Linked DNA regions of Arabidopsis thaliana. The protein of the gene in region 3 binds, or shares a complex with, the protein of the main gene of each other region. Each region holds a gene or a part of one and is shown on either strand. Other genes may lie near its edges. The genes, in order: WIT2, WIT1 and RANGAP1.

Region 1 (5,454 bases), on a different chromosome or scaffold from region 3:
AAATATGAAATAAATTACCGATCGATGTCAAAGTTACTTGATTTTAGTTAATAAAAATTAACAACTCGGTGTATTTTATTAACTAGGTAAATGATTATTGACGCTAATTGTTTAGTTTTCTCCTAACACAAATTCTTTTCTTTAATACGGGTCATGAACAAGTGTAAACGTATTAACTAGTGGAAAAATGATTAAAATAAAATAAAGGAAGAGTAGATGGACGGTCCGGTTAACGCAAAGATCGAGGTCATTATTAGTTGGCCTTGGGACTTGCAATTTCCAAAGACCTAAGAAATTAAACCTTATAATAATTGAATTCTCCAGCCCACACCTTCACTTTATCTTCTCTTTTTCTATTTTTTAATTCCCTAATTATTAACCATAGTTTAACTTTCTATATCATAGTTTAATCTCTTGCTGCATAATTAAACGTCAATATTGTTTATCTCCACTATGTAACTAGTCATTTTTTTACACATAAGAGCCATACAAGAGAGCTCGTAATTAGTTTTTACTAACTATACCACCCATTATCACCACATGTGTTATACTCTTTCCATTTCATAATGAAAAACTATTTTGGACTTTTAGGCATATATATAGTATTAAAATCTATGTTTGACGACAAGAAAATAGTATCAGTTTTTTAAGTAATTCACTAGTAGTATATCTTACATATAAAGAATGTCTAATTCAAACACTATATATGACAAACCTGATATAAAATATATTATCAGTAATATTATCAAATTGTATAACGCTTGGAACCATAAAAAAAAAAGGAACTAAATTTTAGTTTAACTATGCTCTAAAATGGTCAAGTTATCAACGACAACTAGGGAATAAAGAAATTTATTTTAGCAATAATTACCTTGACATGTCTTAATAATAATCATCTAATCTCGCATGCATAGATTCCTTACCTCGAATGTCTTAGCATGCACTATATAACAAGGCATGAACAACGTAACTAAATGTCCATATATATACTAAACAAACAATCTTATGATCTATGTATTTCAGTACATGATATCACACCAAGTTGCTCTATACGTAGTCACGGCCACTTAAGAGCCCAATCACAATCACCCTCGTCTCATCCTAGTGATCTTTCTGTCATATACTTAACACTTCACCATTATAACTGCTTTCAAAAACAGATCATTCACATTTTCACCACCATATAACTAAACCATCATAAACAAAGTAATCACATCATGTAGACTATCAATTTAACATCTCCTCTACATATCCACAATTACGTTGGTGTCAAGTCTCAAACATATGTTGACAGTGAAACAATTTATCTCTCTCATGTTTAGTCACTCACGGTCACGAAATTGAATTAGAGTGGATACATGTCATAAATTCAATAATATTATCATTACACACATGCTATTCTATAATAAATTGCATTAACTTTGGGAATTAAATTGTCCACTAACAAAAAAAAGATACATTAAATTTTTTGAATTTTTGAATAAAATTATAATCTTAAATGTGAGTGTATCATGTTATTATCTAGACGTTACAGACGAAATATAATTCTAAATCAGAATTTTTGAAAAAAAAACTTTTGAAATATTACATTAATTGCTAACTATATTACAGTTATATTTAGGCCTTTTTAGCTGTAACCAATAAGAGCAGCTTAAGCAGTCGTTCTTCTTCCTTACCAATAATTCAACGTCCACCACAACATAACACTCACGCTAACGTAAGCGAAAACGCTAGCATGCGCGGCTCTTTCTTTATCGTTGGATGACTTGTAAACAAATTCCGCGCATTTTAGCATCAATTTTTCTGACGCCAGAAAACACCGTACCATTCTTGAAAGGCAAAATTGGAGTTCGTTGACGGAGTAAAAGCTCTCTCTGTTTTTTCATCTACTCGAACTACAGATTTTCATCGGTAAAGTTTTGATCTTTTCAGATCCTCTTTGAATCTTCAACACTCTGTTTTGTCTGTTTCCAAGTTTTAGTTTTGTTCTTGTTGAATTTTGATATTTTTGTTCTGGTTTTATGGTAAAGTTTGAATCTCGTTGTAGTAAATTGTTAAATTAGTAAGAATTTCTGGTGGATCTCTTTGAAAATGCTGAGTCTTTACAAGTATGTAACATTAACTGACTTGGCTTATTGGTCTCTTTCTTGACAAGTGGATTCTTCTCAAATTTCACTTCTCTTTGCTTAGGTTTTGTTCAAAGTAAGGATTTGATTTAGTTGCACTTACTATAATGTGTTTTTGGGTACTTGGATTACATTTTCAATTATTTGCTTGGATGTTCTGGTTTCAGTTGATGAATGATTGGTTTCATATAGAAGAATTGAGCTATGACTAGTGCTAGGATTGGAACTGCGATACCTCGCATTAGAAAGATAGTGTCATTTCACCTAAGTATCCATTTTTTTGGATTAGTTTTTTTTTCTTGTTCCTAGCTAAGCTTTGAACTTTTGATTTTTAGGCCAAGAATGGAGGAAATCATTAGGGAGGACTATTTTGAAGCTTTGTCTAGTAGGAATGAGGAAGAGCAAGAGATGTTGAGGATGTTGACAAAACTAGAGATAGACTCAGCTTATACTAGTGAAAAGTTGATGAATCTGCATGTTCTTCTTATGCATCTTTTGGCATGGGATAATGATCTTGAAGGGATGGGGACACTTGATTCTTCTCCAGCATCCTTTGAAAAAGCTTTGACGTTTGATCTGTTATGCGGTATATTGGAGTCAGAAGTGAAGGAGGTGGACGAGGTTTTGGATGTGTTGGAAGCTCAAATAGTTGACACTTCTTACAAGATATCTTCTTGCAAACACGGAAATTATATTGTTATTGAAGGAAAGTTGGGTGAATCTGCAGAATCATTGAAGCAGTCTAGAGGACAAGTCTCAGAGATCACTTTGCAATTAGCTCAGCTCCGAAGAACACTTCATTACATAAGAAATGGAACAAGTAATCACTTTTGATATATGGTTGTTTTAAAGTTATTGCTGCTTTGGTTTTCTTAGCTTCTTGTTGTTATTGACAAAAATGTTGGCAGGTGAAAACGAGGAGTCAGTGGAGTTAAGGCAGAAATATGCGCTGAAACCATCGGACTTGAGGCATAAAAATGCTCTGAGGATGCTGGAGAAGTCATTGTCAAGAGAGCTAGAGCTTGAGAAGAAGTTAATGGAATTCCAGCAAAATGAGGAACAGTTGAAACTCAAGCTACACTACACAGAGGAGGTATCTTCTCGGATGGAAGAAGCATCAGAGTTTATATGGGGACGGTTTCTAGAGGCAGATAATTCTTCTGAGGTTCTTACAGGTATTTCAAAGGAACTTGTTGGTCGTCTACAGATTCTCCAGTTTAGTCTGAATGGGTCAGCACAACGGGAATCCGAACTTAAGTCTAAGCTTGAAGATTGCACTGTACAACTGGAAGCGAAAGATCTTCTGGTGCAAAAGCTTGAGGGAACAATTTCAGAAAATAGTGAAATAGTTTCAGAAGTACTCACTTTGAGGGAATATGTGAAGTCAGCTGAACAAAAGCTGAAAAATACCGACCTTGAGCTGAAAAGTGTCAACGCCTCCAAACAAGAAATCCTGGTACATCTAGCTGAAATGGAAAATGCAAATGAGTCGGTCAAAGAAAACCTTTTCGAGGCTGAAAGCAGAGCTGAGAGTGGAGAAGCTAAGATTAAAGAGCTAGATGCTGCAAATCTTGAACTTACTGAGGAACTAAATTTTCTCAAAGATGCGGATGATAAAAAGACGAAGAAGGTGAACTCTCTCGAGAAGCAAGTCAGGGAATTAGAAGTTCAAGTACAAAACTCCAAGGTATCATCAGAAGCAAATCAAGAACAGCAGAACATGTTGTATTCAGCAATATGGGACATGGAGACCTTAATAGAAGATCTCAAGTCTAAAGCCTCAAAAGCCGAGAGTAGAACGGAGACAGTGGAGGAGCAATGCATTGTGCTTTCTACCACAAACTCTGAACTCAACAAAGACGTGAGCTTTTTGAGGCAAAAAGCCAAATCCTTAGAAGCAATGTTGGATCTAGCTAACAATGAGAAAGAGAGATATGCACAAGAAATAACTACAAGGAACAAAGTTTTGATGGATATGATGTTGCAATTATCCAGTGAAAGGGAGCGTATACAAGAGCAGGTACTTTTTGGCTAAGTGCATTATTGTTTTCTTTAGGCCAGGGACACAAGAGCATAGCATTGTTGACACATTAATGTTTTTTCTTTCTCCAGCTATATTCTTTGGCAAAAGAAAACAAAATACTTAGAGTGAATCAGTGCTCAAATACATACCAAAGAAATGGATCTTATGCTGGGGACAAAGAGCTGTCGTTTCACGCAGATGGTCACGAAATAGAGGCACTTGCTGAAAGTCTGCAGGCAGGTATTCAGTTTATTTTCCACAAGAAAAACACGAAATTCCTTGTACTTTCTTGTGTATTAGTGTATAGCTTTGATGCTTCAGAATGGTCGATGGGGCAAATATAGATCATTGTTGGGTCATGGATGTGAAAACCAGACATCTCTTGGTTACTAATCTTATGTGGGTCTTTGCTTTCTTTGAACAGGAGGATGAGAGAACAAGGGAAGAACCAGAGAAGCAGTCTGTGTCTGAAAAGAGTAGCGAGATCAGAAGAGCAATCAAATTGAAACACATACTAGTTGTGGCCTTAGTTTTTGTGCTGTTTTGTTCATTCTTTGGTGTGACTTATTAAGGAAATATATCTTAGTGAAAATGTCTTGGCCATAGCATTCGCCATTTGTACATTGTGTTGTAAATACTCATTTATCTTGTATTTATTACAAGCAATGTATCTCAAGTGTTGGTTTATCTCCTCTACAAAAACAACACATTTCAATTATTAAGTGATTTCCTAAGATGGAGTGATCTCACCAGTTGGACTAAAAAAGAATCAGACTAAATTTGGTAAAACCTTCACACAAAAGATTTGTTGCCATTTAACTTCTTTCTCTATAAGAGAACAATCTGAATTCTCTGTTCATCACTTTTACAAAAAAAAAAGAAACAAGAAAAGATTTTGAGGTTACAATTAGTAATGGAGAAAACGTCTCTCAAGCTTGTCTTCTTGTTCTCCCTCACAGTCATAGCATTGTGTAATGCTTCCTCTATAAAAACTTCTTCTTTGTTATAAAATGTTTTGCTTTGGTTTTTGTTTTGAAGTTTTATTATGGTGTGTACTTGTGAAGGTTTGTCTTTGAGTGCCGCGAGAGAGATGGCGAAAGAAGAAGTGAATTGCATAGGCGGCCATTGTCCTGATGGAAAGAAGGACTGTAACTGCTTGCCTCTTATAGCACCAACAATGGACATATATGAGACCAATGAGTCTTGCCGCACAGATAACGAATGCATCAAGTACTGTCCTAAGGGCTGCAAGATTGTTGACTGTAATTTTGGAACCTGTTTGTGTGAGTACTGTTAAAGAAATTA
Region 2 (5,652 bases), on a different chromosome or scaffold from region 3:
GTATCTTCTCTAGATTCAATGGGTCCTGTGTTGGTCCACGTGATCACAGAGGGAAACCGAGATGCAGAAACCGTAAAGAACATCATGGTCAAAGGTATATCTGTCTGGTTATGTTATTTTTTCTGAGAATATATGCTTATCCAAAATCTTGACTTTGTAGTTTTTTTTTTTGTCTCAGACAGACGCACTTACAGTGATTGCTTTGTTGAGGCTTTGGTGATGGAGGCAGAAAAGGATAGAGATATTGTTGTAGTTCATGCAGGAATGGAGATGGATCCGTCACTTCTTACATTTCAGGAGAGATTTCCAGACAGATTTTTCAATGTCGGAATGGCTGAACAGCATGCTGTCACATTCTCTGCTGGTCTTTCTTCTGGAGGTCTCAAGCCATTTTGTATTATTCCCTCTGCTTTTTTACAAAGAGCTTATGACCAGGTTTCACTTTCCTCTAGCACAAAATAAAATTGTTCTAAAAGGTTTTTATTACAAGCAAATGGCCTTAGTGTCTTTGATGGTTTCTTTAGGTGGTCCATGATGTAGATCGGCAGAGAAAGGCGGTGCGATTTGTTATTACAAGCGCAGGGCTTGTTGGATCCGATGGTCCAGTGCAGTGTGGAGCTTTTGACATAGCTTTCATGTCATCCTTACCAAACATGATAGCCATGGCTCCAGCCGATGAGGATGAGCTTGTAAATATGGTTGCAACTGCTGCTTATGTCACTGACCGCCCAGTATGTTTCCGGTTCCCTAGAGGCTCCATCGTCAACATGAATTATCTTGTCCCCACTGGATTACCAATTGAAGTAAGTTCCAATCTAATCTTCAAATCTTTTGGTTGCAAAAACAGACCGTGGTGACACAAGAACTGCTTTATCATATTAGAGTAGATCGGAAGAGGAAGAGTTCTCGTAGAAGGTCAAGATGTGGCTTTACTTGGTTATGGAGCGATGGTTCAGAATTGTCTTCATGCTCACTCGCTTCTCTCGAAACTCGGTTTGAACGTGACTGTAGCTGATGCAAGATTTTGCAAACCCCTAGACATCAAGCTTGTGCGTGATCTTTGTCAGAACCACAAATTCCTTATCACTGTCGAAGAAGGCTGTGTTGGAGGGTTTGGTTCTCATGTGGCGCAGTTCATAGCCCTCGATGGCCAGCTCGATGGGAATATCAAGGTAGAGAGACAAATCAAAACCTCATGTTCTCACCTGTTTTTGGTTTTAAGTTGTAATTTTGCTCTTAACATTGTGTAGTGGAGACCCATTGTGTTACCGGATGGCTACATAGAAGAAGCATCGCCTAGGGAGCAGCTTGCTCTTGCAGGGCTAACTGGACATCACATAGCAGCAACCGCTTTGAGTCTTTTGGGCCGAACTCGTGAAGCATTGCTTCTCATGAGCTAGCTTAACCTTCTCATATGGGATTTACCTTCACAAGAGACTTAAAGAGGAGTTTCTTAAACAGAATTTGTAGATAATACATTCTGAATTCAAGAGCCCATTTGATATCCTGATTTTGGAATAGCAATCTGCTATGTATTGTAAATGTAGAGTTGAGAATTGACTAAAATAAATTCAATTACTTTTTAGGCGGTATCTCAGTTTTCATATTCTCAGTTAGTTGTTGTTGTTGTTGTTGTTGTTGTTGTTGTTGTTGTTGTTGTTGTCAAGTCTATTTGGTGTAACAGTCGCATGTCCCAAATCTGGAAACAAACAAAATATAGAACAGAGACGTGTATTTTCGATACTCGAGTTTTTTTTTAATAAAAGCATCTTAAAAAATTAGTAAAGAGTTACTGTCAAACAATATTCGTTTAATTACAAATCCGAGTCCTTCTTCTTCTTCTTCTTCTCGATCTCTGTATCTCTCGATCATTTCCTTCTAAAGGAAGCGTCTTTGATCTTAATCGTCGTGTCGTTCGTTTCTAACTGTAAGTTTTCTCCTTTTCATTCATTTTGCTTCAATCTCGATCGGAATCAAGTAAAAAATCGGAACTTTTACCTAGATTTCCTCAGGAATCGAAAAGTTCTTGTGATTTAGCAGAACCTCTATTGTTTCCGATCTCTTAATTCAATTACTTGACAAAAGTGATTATACTTTCTCTGTTGCAGTTATATTGAAAGATGGAAACAGAAACGGAACATGATAGAACTGTCTCTGTCGATGACAACGACAGCCTTGTACCTGAGCCAAGCTCAACGAAAGAAAGCTTTTTTGAAGATCTCTCGCTTACTGGGCAAGTTATGAATCCTCAACTTTCAAGTGCAGGCGAAGTTTTGACAAAAGTTGAATTGGATTTTGCTTTTGTCTCTGAGAAATTGGTCAATCTTAGTCTTCTTACTATGCAACTCGGCACGAGGGAAAATGATTTTGAGTCTTTTGTTTCTAAGAAAGAAGAAGATGAAGAAGAGCCTTCGAGTAATGTTGATGATGATGATGATTCTGCTGAGAAGGCATTGGAGTTTGATCTCTTGTCTTCAATTCTCAATTCAGAGGTGAAAGAACTTGAATCGCTTCTTGGTTTTCTCCAGAACGAGATTCAAAGCGCCCGTGTCATGATATCTCCGTTTCAACATGATGGAGAAGCTTTCTTGGATTTGGAAGGGAAGTTGAATGATACTGAACAATCTTTGGGTCAGTTAATGGAACAAGTAGTGGAAATGAAGAAGCAATCTTCTAACTTTCAGAGGTTATCTTCTGGTTTGGATGAACAAGGAAGCTGTAAGTGACCAATCTAGCTTTCTTTTTAACCTTGTTGTGATGATCACTTGGTGAGAAAAATTTCAGGCTTTAATGAATACTATATAACTTTGTTTTTGCAGGGTCTGGAGGGCAAACTTCAGTGTCTCAAAACGATGGTGAGTTTGGTGATCTGAGCGCTAAGATCAATATGCAGACTGCTGATCAGCAAAGGAATGTTTTAAGGATGCTTGAGAAATCTTTGGCTAAGGAGATGGAACTTGAGAAGAAACTAAGTGAATCAAGAAATACTGAACGAGAACTAGAGATGAAACTGTATTCTTCTGAGCAGGATGTTGTCTACATGGAAGAAGTAACCGAAGATGCGTTCTCCAGGTGGCTTGAGGCAGATAATGCTGCTGAAGTCTTTAAGGGAACGTCAAAGGAGATGTCTGGAAAACTCCAGATTCTTCAGTTCAATCTAAGTGGCTCTTTTAAGCGGGAAGACAACTTGAAGTCTAAGCTTGTTGATTCAAAGGAACGTTTAGAAGCTAAGGAATGCGCCTTGCACAAGCTTGATAGCAGCAATGCAAGACTTGCTGACTTTCTTGTGGCACAAACAGAAGGCTTAAAAGAGAGTTTGCAAGAGGCTGAAGAAAAATTGATTTTGTTGAACACTGAGAATTCCACATTAAGTGAGAAAGTTAGCTCCCTTGAAGAACAACTGAATGAATATGGGATTCAAACAGAAGATGCGGATGCTACTTCTGGTGCTCTGATAACAGATCTTGAACGTATCAACGAGGAACTGAAAGATAAATTAGCCAAAACTGAAGCAAGGGCTGAGGAAACAGAATCCAAGTGCAAAATCCTAGAAGAAAGCAAAAAGGAGCTTCAAGACGAGTTGGGGAATTTCAGAGACAAGGGCTTCACTATACATAAGTTAGCATCGCTTGAGAAACACTTGAGGGACTCAGATCTACAACTAGAACATGCAGTTGCAGCTGTTGAAGCAAGTAAAGAAAAGCAGAACTTGTTATATTCTACTGTTTCTGATATGGAGGATGTGATCGAGGATCTAAAATCAAAAGTTTTGAAGGCTGAAAACAGGGCCGACATTACCGAAGAGAAGTTGATCATGGTATCTGAGTCTAACGCAGAGGTCAACGAAGAACTGAAATTCTTTAAGGGTAGATTGAAAGAAGGGGAGAAATATTTACAGCAAGCAGAAGAAAGAAAATTGCGAACCGCCAAAGATATCGGGGTACATAACAAGATCATGAAAAAACTGGTCATGCAACTAGCTGCTGAACGAGAACGACTTCATAAACAGGTATTACCATATTCGTAAAACCCCAGTTCGCTGTTAGTTCATGTCCTTGTAGCTTCATCATCATCACAGTGGATTCTTAGATATAGTGACTTATTTGCAGATAACTAACCTGTCAAGAGAGAATTGTGTGTTGATGGTGAAGTTGAAAAAGGTTGGAAAAACTGGTTATATGGAAAGTGGCAATGGAAGTGAAGTTTCACCAAAGTCGGACCAGAATGCTTCTTCTTGCCATCAAGGAAGTAGACTTCAAGCCACCTTCATTTCATTAACTAATCCAGAGGTAACATAATTCTACCTTACAAAAAATCTGATCTTTTGCTGGCATCTAAGTGAGTTATACCATTAAGCTTTAGTCCAACAATCGAATATTATGAATCTAAGCTTGACGTTAGTAACCGTGGTCACCTTTTTGTAGGAGGAAGAAACAGGTTCAAAATCAGATATTGGAAGTGTAAGGAGATTAGATGTTGGAGCTCTTAGGTTCAAACACATTCTCGTTGCAATACTCGTGATCTTAATATCGTCGATAGCTTATGTTATATCCCAGCAAAACATGTAAGAGTCTTTAACTTTTTCCAAAATCTCAGTCTCCAGTTTTGTACTCTCTTTGTCATAGTTTACAATGACAGATTATATTTTAGTTCTTTTTGGCTACCCAGTTACAGAAAATCTGCTATATAATTAACCCCGACACTGGTATTTTGTGTTATTACAATATCTTTTTCAGTGTCAAGTATTAGTACCTCTCTACACATTAGTCCTTAATCTCTGCAATATGATTAAGACCATCCAATACTTGTTGCATCAATGGCCGTTTCTTTGTATTATGCGCTGTGCATCGGTTGATGAGTGTGCCCATCTGTGTCGCCGCATTCGCAGAATAATCGCTCCCAAGTCGGGGATCGATTATTTCCTCAATCTTATAATTATCTGGCAAGAAAGATGAGGTCCAGTAATCTACTAAGCCTTGCTCTTCCTTAATCTTTTTTCTATCCTTGGAACCCATTAAAAGTTCAAGCAAGATCATACCAAAAATGTAAACATCGGTCGTCATATCCAAAATACCTAACACATACATTACACAATTGTCTTAACGTTGAACAACGAAAGATTTTTCAGAATTTGTAAAACGAAAGTTAATGCTTTCGTGTACCTAACGATCCCCATTCAGGAGATAGGTATGTAAATCTTCCCCTCTTGAGACCTTCATCTACCAAGCTTCGTTTGGTTGGTTCGAGATAGAACAGTTTTTGCATTGTATTGCTGATGAAATCCAAACTTAGATATTAATTTCTAAGATCATAAACAAAAAGAGAGAAGAAGGATGGAAATAAAACAATTACCACCTCGTCAAGCATAATGTTATGCATCCTGAGTTCTCGGTTTAGGGGGCTGTTCTTGATCGAGTGAAGAAACGCGAGACCTTGAGCTGTTCCAATGGCTATCTTAACCCGTATTTCCCATGGCAATGCCTCTTCTTCTTCTGTTGAGGGAAACGTAAAACTATAGGTAATGCAATAGTTGTCTATATCTTAGAATGGACCCATTAGCTAGAAAAGATCTTAACTTCCGAAAATGTGACTGTCCAAACTTCCTTTGTGCGAGTATTCAAATACCAAGAAGAATGGTTTGTTGTCTTCACA
Region 3 (5,005 bases):
TTATGATTAGGAGTGCATTCCATCAAGGTTAATGCAAACGAAGGGACGATAGAAGTGAACACTGATATTAACCGGCAAAAGAGCCGAGCTTTTGTGGGAACCTGAACCAGAGTCTCCTGATGACATTTCTATGGCAACTCCGCTCGCCATGCCATCAACTTGCCGACGTCAGGTCCATGTCAGCACCTTTGACCAGACCGTACACCTACAGGACTTGCTTGACAAAAACGCTAGTGGGATCAAACACATGAAAGATTACCGACAAGAGGGTCATCAGTATAACGTTTAAGGAGTCACATGATGATCCCAGGGGCTACCACTCACGGGACTCACTATCTCCAATCGCACCACCGTCCTCTGACCCTAAGAATAGCAATGGCGGTGGTGGTTCAGGTGCTTGTGGTAATGTTGAGGCTCCTGCTACTGCTGCTTAACCACCGCCCAAGATTAACGATACTCCTTGTAATGGCAAAGCAGCAGAGCCTCCTGTCGCTAATGTGAAATGCAGCAGCAGATGGAATAGTTGCGGTTTGATGTAAAGTAGAGATCTATTTAGTAGTTTAACCAGTATCAAGGAAACTATATTATAGCAACTTCTTAAAGAATGAGTTGGTAGAAATTTTCAGATTTTCTACTACACACAATTGTCACAAACAATCAATCATGCAAAAGAATCATCACTACTAAAACACAAAATAATCCTATCTTACCCTTGCCGATCAGCGTGCTGTGGTTTGAGAGCAGAGTGAGTCGGGTGTCCTCTTCTGCCAAGTCTCTTTGTTGGCTCGGCATGCTTCTTTTATGGGCCACTCGATCTGGAAGCCGTCTCTGTTCTGCTTTTCTAACTGACAACAGTGTGTGTGAAACGTCTGAGGATCTACCTGAAGCTTGAAGTCAAGGGTAAACAACAACTCCATCTCCAATCTGTTTAACTCTCTCGTAGTCACACCTCCCACTCTTGCGTAGTATGCATTGTTGAAATACCTGCACAACACCAGAGATCAATGAATCTATGATTGAAGACTTATTTGCGTGTTGAATTTGATACCAGGTTTAGTGAGTAACATACCTATCATCGAAGACTTTAGCAGCTAACATGACAGTTGTAATGATAAGGCGGTGGACATTAAGGGGTTTGAGAAGGGCTCGGGTCTTATGGAGAAAGTGATCAATGTAGATATGCGCAATGACGAAGCAGGAGGGACTGCAGCAAGAGTACTTGAAAATGCGATCCAAGTAGTGTGCAATACTGATCTCAGGGGGAGATCTCCCGTCAAACACGGTAACAGAGTCTGGCGATCCAAGCAGAATCTTGTCATCATGATTGAGTAACAGAGATCTCTCCAGAGAAGAAGAGAGGCGTGAGAGAACAGTCGGTGGCTTTTTCAATCGTTTGCCCTCAATAATAAGTCCTAACCTGAGGTATACATCCGAATCAATGAAAGCTGGATCGGTTGCGAGAGAGTCCATTTCTCCAACGAATCTGCAATGAAGATGATGATGTGCATAAAAATGGTAACTTTGAATAGGGTTTTGAAATAGAAGACGTATGTAGAGTAAATTTCAAGCAGGTGAACTAATTCCTAATCAAGAACCTAAACCCTCTCTATATGTCTCCCTACCTACCAAGTACCAAGAATCTTGAGAGTCAAGAATTAGGAATAAAGTGGAAGAAGCTTACGAGAATAAAGTGGAAGAAGTTGGTTCGTGAACTAGAGAAGGTCCGGAGAATGGAAGAAAGCAGATCTATCTCCGGCGCTTCTCCATTGTTTTTTTTTTGCTGCTCTGAAGCTTAGAAGCTAAAAGAAGCCGCGAAGAATTGTGAAGAAGAAGGAAAGTTTCCATTATTGCCTTTTATTTTATTTTATTTAATAATTTAAGGGTTTTTGATTTTAAAATGAATAATAATAATAAATACAAAAAAGAAAGGACAGAAGGAAGGAGTGATGTGTGGTAGAGAGAGACAGTTCACCGTCGGCGAGTCCAGCTGGCGGTGGTGGGAGCCCACCGTGTCACCTTAATCATCGCTGCGCTGCCCTGTCTTTTTTCCATTATTAATTTTTAGCAAGAAGAAGACTGGGCTTTCTAAATTAGTTATTAATGGGCTTTGGGCTTTCGTGGTTAGGGTTGTGTAGGGGCTTAATCGTCATTTCGGAGATAGAATAAACCCTAATCTCCATGGATGGGCTCTCCGATGTTTGTCTTTTTGATTTTTGAAATTTGATTTTCAAAAATAAACTAAAGCATCATTGCCTCCCATTATCGTCACGCACGCAGATCAATGATTCTCTCACTCTGCTTCTCATTCACGCTTCTTCTTTGAATTCACTTTTCTATTCCTTTCTTTTTCTCCGTCCGAGAGAGTATAGAGAGACCCATTTCTTCGATCCATCCGCTGAGAAAAAAAAGGTACCGTCGTATTGTTCTCTCATGTTTCTGGGTTTCTTTTTGTTTCGAAATATATTCTTCTCGTTTGCAGTGTGATTTTGAGGGTTTCCTTGTCTAAAAAATGCAGTTTTTAATTAATGGATTTACAATAGAAATGTAGTTAGATTCTTCGACACCATCTTCGTTTTCGATTGGATCTACATGTTATGCTCTCTCTTTTTCCTTGGAATACTATGTCAGATTGAGTAATGGTTGTCCTTGTATTGAATTACAGAAGAAAACCAAGCAGTAGTAGAATGGATCATTCAGCGAAAACCACACAGAACCGTGTTTTGTCAGTGAAGATGTGGCCACCGAGTAAGAGTACCCGTCTCATGCTTGTTGAGCGGATGACCAAGAACATTACCACCCCTTCCATCTTCTCCAGGAAGTACGGTCTTTTGTCTGTTGAAGAGGCTGAGCAAGACGCCAAGCGCATTGAAGATTTGGCCTTTGCTACTGCCAACAAACACTTCCAGAACGAGCCTGATGGTGATGGCACTTCTGCTGTTCACGTCTATGCTAAAGAATCCAGCAAGCTCATGCTTGATGTCATCAAACGTGGTCCACAGGAAGAATCCGAGGTTGAGGTGAGCAAGGATGGTGATGTCTTTTTTGATATATCTGGTGGGAGCAGAGCTTTTATTGAAGAAGAGGAGGCACGCGACCTTTTGAGGCCTCTGGCTGACCCGCGTAACTCCTATACCAAAATCCGTTTTAGCAACAGGAGTTTTGGGTCTGAAGCAGCCAAATTTGCTGCGAGCGTTTTGTCTTCCATCAAGGATCAGCTGACGGAAGTGGATCTCTCGGATTTTGTTGCAGGAAGACCAGAGGCTGAAGCGCTTGAAGTCATGAATATGTTTTCATCTGCTTTAGAGGGTTCTAAGCTTAGGTATCTGAATCTCTCGGACAATGCTTTGGGAGAAAAGGGAATTAGGGCATTTGCTTCTCTCATCAATTCTCAGCATGACTTGGAGGAGCTCTATCTGATGAATGATGGCATTTCCGAGGATGCTGCACGTGCAGTTCGTGAGCTTCTCCCTTCTACTGACAAAATCAGGGTTCTTCAGTTTCATAACAACATGACAGGAGATGAAGGAGCAACTGCCATTGCAGAGATTGTCAGGGAGTGTCCATCTTTGGAAGATTTCCGGTGTTCATCTACAAGGATTGGTTCAGAAGGTGGTGTTGCACTAGCTGAAGCACTTGAACACTGTAGCCACTTGAAGAAACTTGATCTTCGTGACAACATGTTTGGAGTCGAAGGTGGAATTGCCCTGGCCAAGACTTTATCAGTCTTGACTCATTTAACCGAGATCTATATGAGTTACCTGAACTTGGAGGATGAGGGAACAGAGGCACTTTCTGAAGCTCTACTTAAGTCCGCCCCTTCTCTTGAAGTTCTAGAATTGGCTGGTAACGACATTACTGTAAAATCCACTGGAAATTTGGCAGCTTGCATCGCCTCCAAACAGTCTCTTGCAAAGCTGAATTTATCTGAGAATGAACTCAAAGACGAAGGGACTATCTTAATTGCAAAGGCAGTTGAAGGTCATGATCAGTTAGTTGAAGTTGACCTGAGCACCAACATGATCAGAAGAGCTGGGGCAAGGGCCTTGGCACAAACTGTTGTGAAGAAAAATACTTTCAAGCTTCTGAACATCAATGGAAACTTCATATCTGAGGAAGGTATTGACGAGGTAAATGACATGTTTAAGGACTGTCTGGACAAGCTTGTTCCTTTGGACGACAATGACCCTGAAGGAGAAGATTTTGAAGATGAAGACGAAGAGGAGGAAGGCGAAGATGGCAATGAATTGGAATCAAAGCTTGGAAGTCTGAAAATCAAGCAAGGGGAGGAATGATGTGATGCTTTTGTTGCTATGTAGGTAGGTTCAGTGTTATCTCTCTTTCTGGATTCGGTAAACATAGTTAAGTAGGTATCTAAGGATCTAAGATTGTCTTCAGATTTATTTCCTTGAAGCGAAATTGTTATCTTCGTGTAAACCAGAATTGTTGTTGGTCTTTTGGTTATGAATATTTAAATGATCTTTTAGCTGAAATCATGTTCATCTCATATGAGCCGTGGGAAATGAAAGAGCACAGTGTAGCATAAGAAGTTACAAATGAAGAACAAACTTTATGGCGTATTTGATCAAGCGGCCACTGGAGTTTTGAGGGCTTCGAGTATCTTATCGTCTAACTCAAACTTAATCTCTTTCTTGTCTCTGCCAATCTTCACATACTCTTCGAATCTCTCCTTGAGATCTTCAGGCAGATTCGTTTTACTCTCCCACCCTAATAAGTCCTTAGCGGCTCTTGGCTCTGCGTAGAAATGCTGCGACCATACAAAGACAAGTTTGTAAAGCTACTAATGAATGAAGTAGGAGAAGAGCTTCTACAGGGTTTCGTTTACCATGTTTCTGAATAGAAAAGCCTTCTTGGCGTCAACCCCAATGGCTTTAGGGTCATAATGAACGATCTCAACAGTTTTGCCAGCAGCGGCAGCACAGAGCTTGGCCATACCGTCAAGAGTAACGGCTCTGTCGCTAACGCAGTTGAAGATGTTGCCGGAAGC

Evidence for each region.
Region 1: RANGAP1 (region 3) and WIT2 share a complex: the UniProt entries of both Arabidopsis thaliana proteins name them as parts of the ran complex.
Region 2: RANGAP1 (region 3) and WIT1 share a complex: the UniProt entries of both Arabidopsis thaliana proteins name them as parts of the ran complex.

What each region holds. Positions count from the first base shown.
Region 1 is NC_003070.9:25,907,500-25,912,953, reverse strand, and holds WIT2 (WPP domain-interacting protein 2), read left to right. Parts: upstream 1-1,845; 5' UTR 1,846-1,911; intron 1,912-2,415; exon of another isoform or gene 2,416-2,461; 5' UTR 2,462-2,468; coding exon 2,469-2,946; intron 2,947-3,034; coding exon 3,035-4,146; intron 4,147-4,238; coding exon 4,239-4,385; coding exon of another isoform or gene 4,386-4,389; intron 4,390-4,573; coding exon 4,574-4,720; 3' UTR 4,721-4,823; downstream 4,824-5,454. Other genes in the region: AT1G68907 (Defensin-like (DEFL) family protein), read left to right, coding at 5,063-5,120, 5,214-5,446. UniProt on the Arabidopsis thaliana protein: Together with WIT1, required for the nuclear envelope docking of RANGAP proteins in root tips. Plays a role in nuclear shape determination.
Region 2 is NC_003076.8:3,631,851-3,637,502, forward strand, and holds WIT1 (WPP domain-interacting protein 1), read left to right. Parts: upstream 1-1,798; 5' UTR 1,799-1,927; intron 1,928-2,108; 5' UTR 2,109-2,120; coding exon 2,121-2,718; intron 2,719-2,819; coding exon 2,820-4,009; intron 4,010-4,109; coding exon 4,110-4,289; intron 4,290-4,424; coding exon 4,425-4,568; 3' UTR 4,569-4,763; coding exon of another isoform or gene 4,764-5,074; 3' UTR 5,075-5,084; downstream 5,085-5,652. Other genes in the region: DXPS3 (1-deoxy-D-xylulose 5-phosphate synthase 3), read left to right, coding at 1-94, 179-435, 525-803, 888-1,172, 1,251-1,400; AT5G11400 (Protein kinase superfamily protein), read right to left, coding at 4,764-5,074, 5,163-5,272, 5,426-5,492, 5,577-5,652. UniProt on the Arabidopsis thaliana protein: Together with WIT2, required for the nuclear envelope docking of RANGAP proteins in root tips.
Region 3 is NC_003074.8:23,322,424-23,327,428, forward strand, and holds RANGAP1 (RAN GTPase activating protein 1), read left to right. Parts: upstream 1-2,055; 5' UTR 2,056-2,409; intron 2,410-2,662; 5' UTR 2,663-2,684; coding exon 2,685-4,292; 3' UTR 4,293-4,490; downstream 4,491-5,005. Other genes in the region: CYCP1;1 (cyclin p1;1), read right to left, coding at 720-984, 1,070-1,470; CSP41A (chloroplast stem-loop binding protein of 41 kDa), read right to left, coding at 4,583-4,765, 4,844-5,005. UniProt on the Arabidopsis thaliana protein: GTPase activator for the nuclear Ras-related regulatory protein Ran, converting it to the putatively inactive GDP-bound state. Plays a role in spatial signaling during cell division.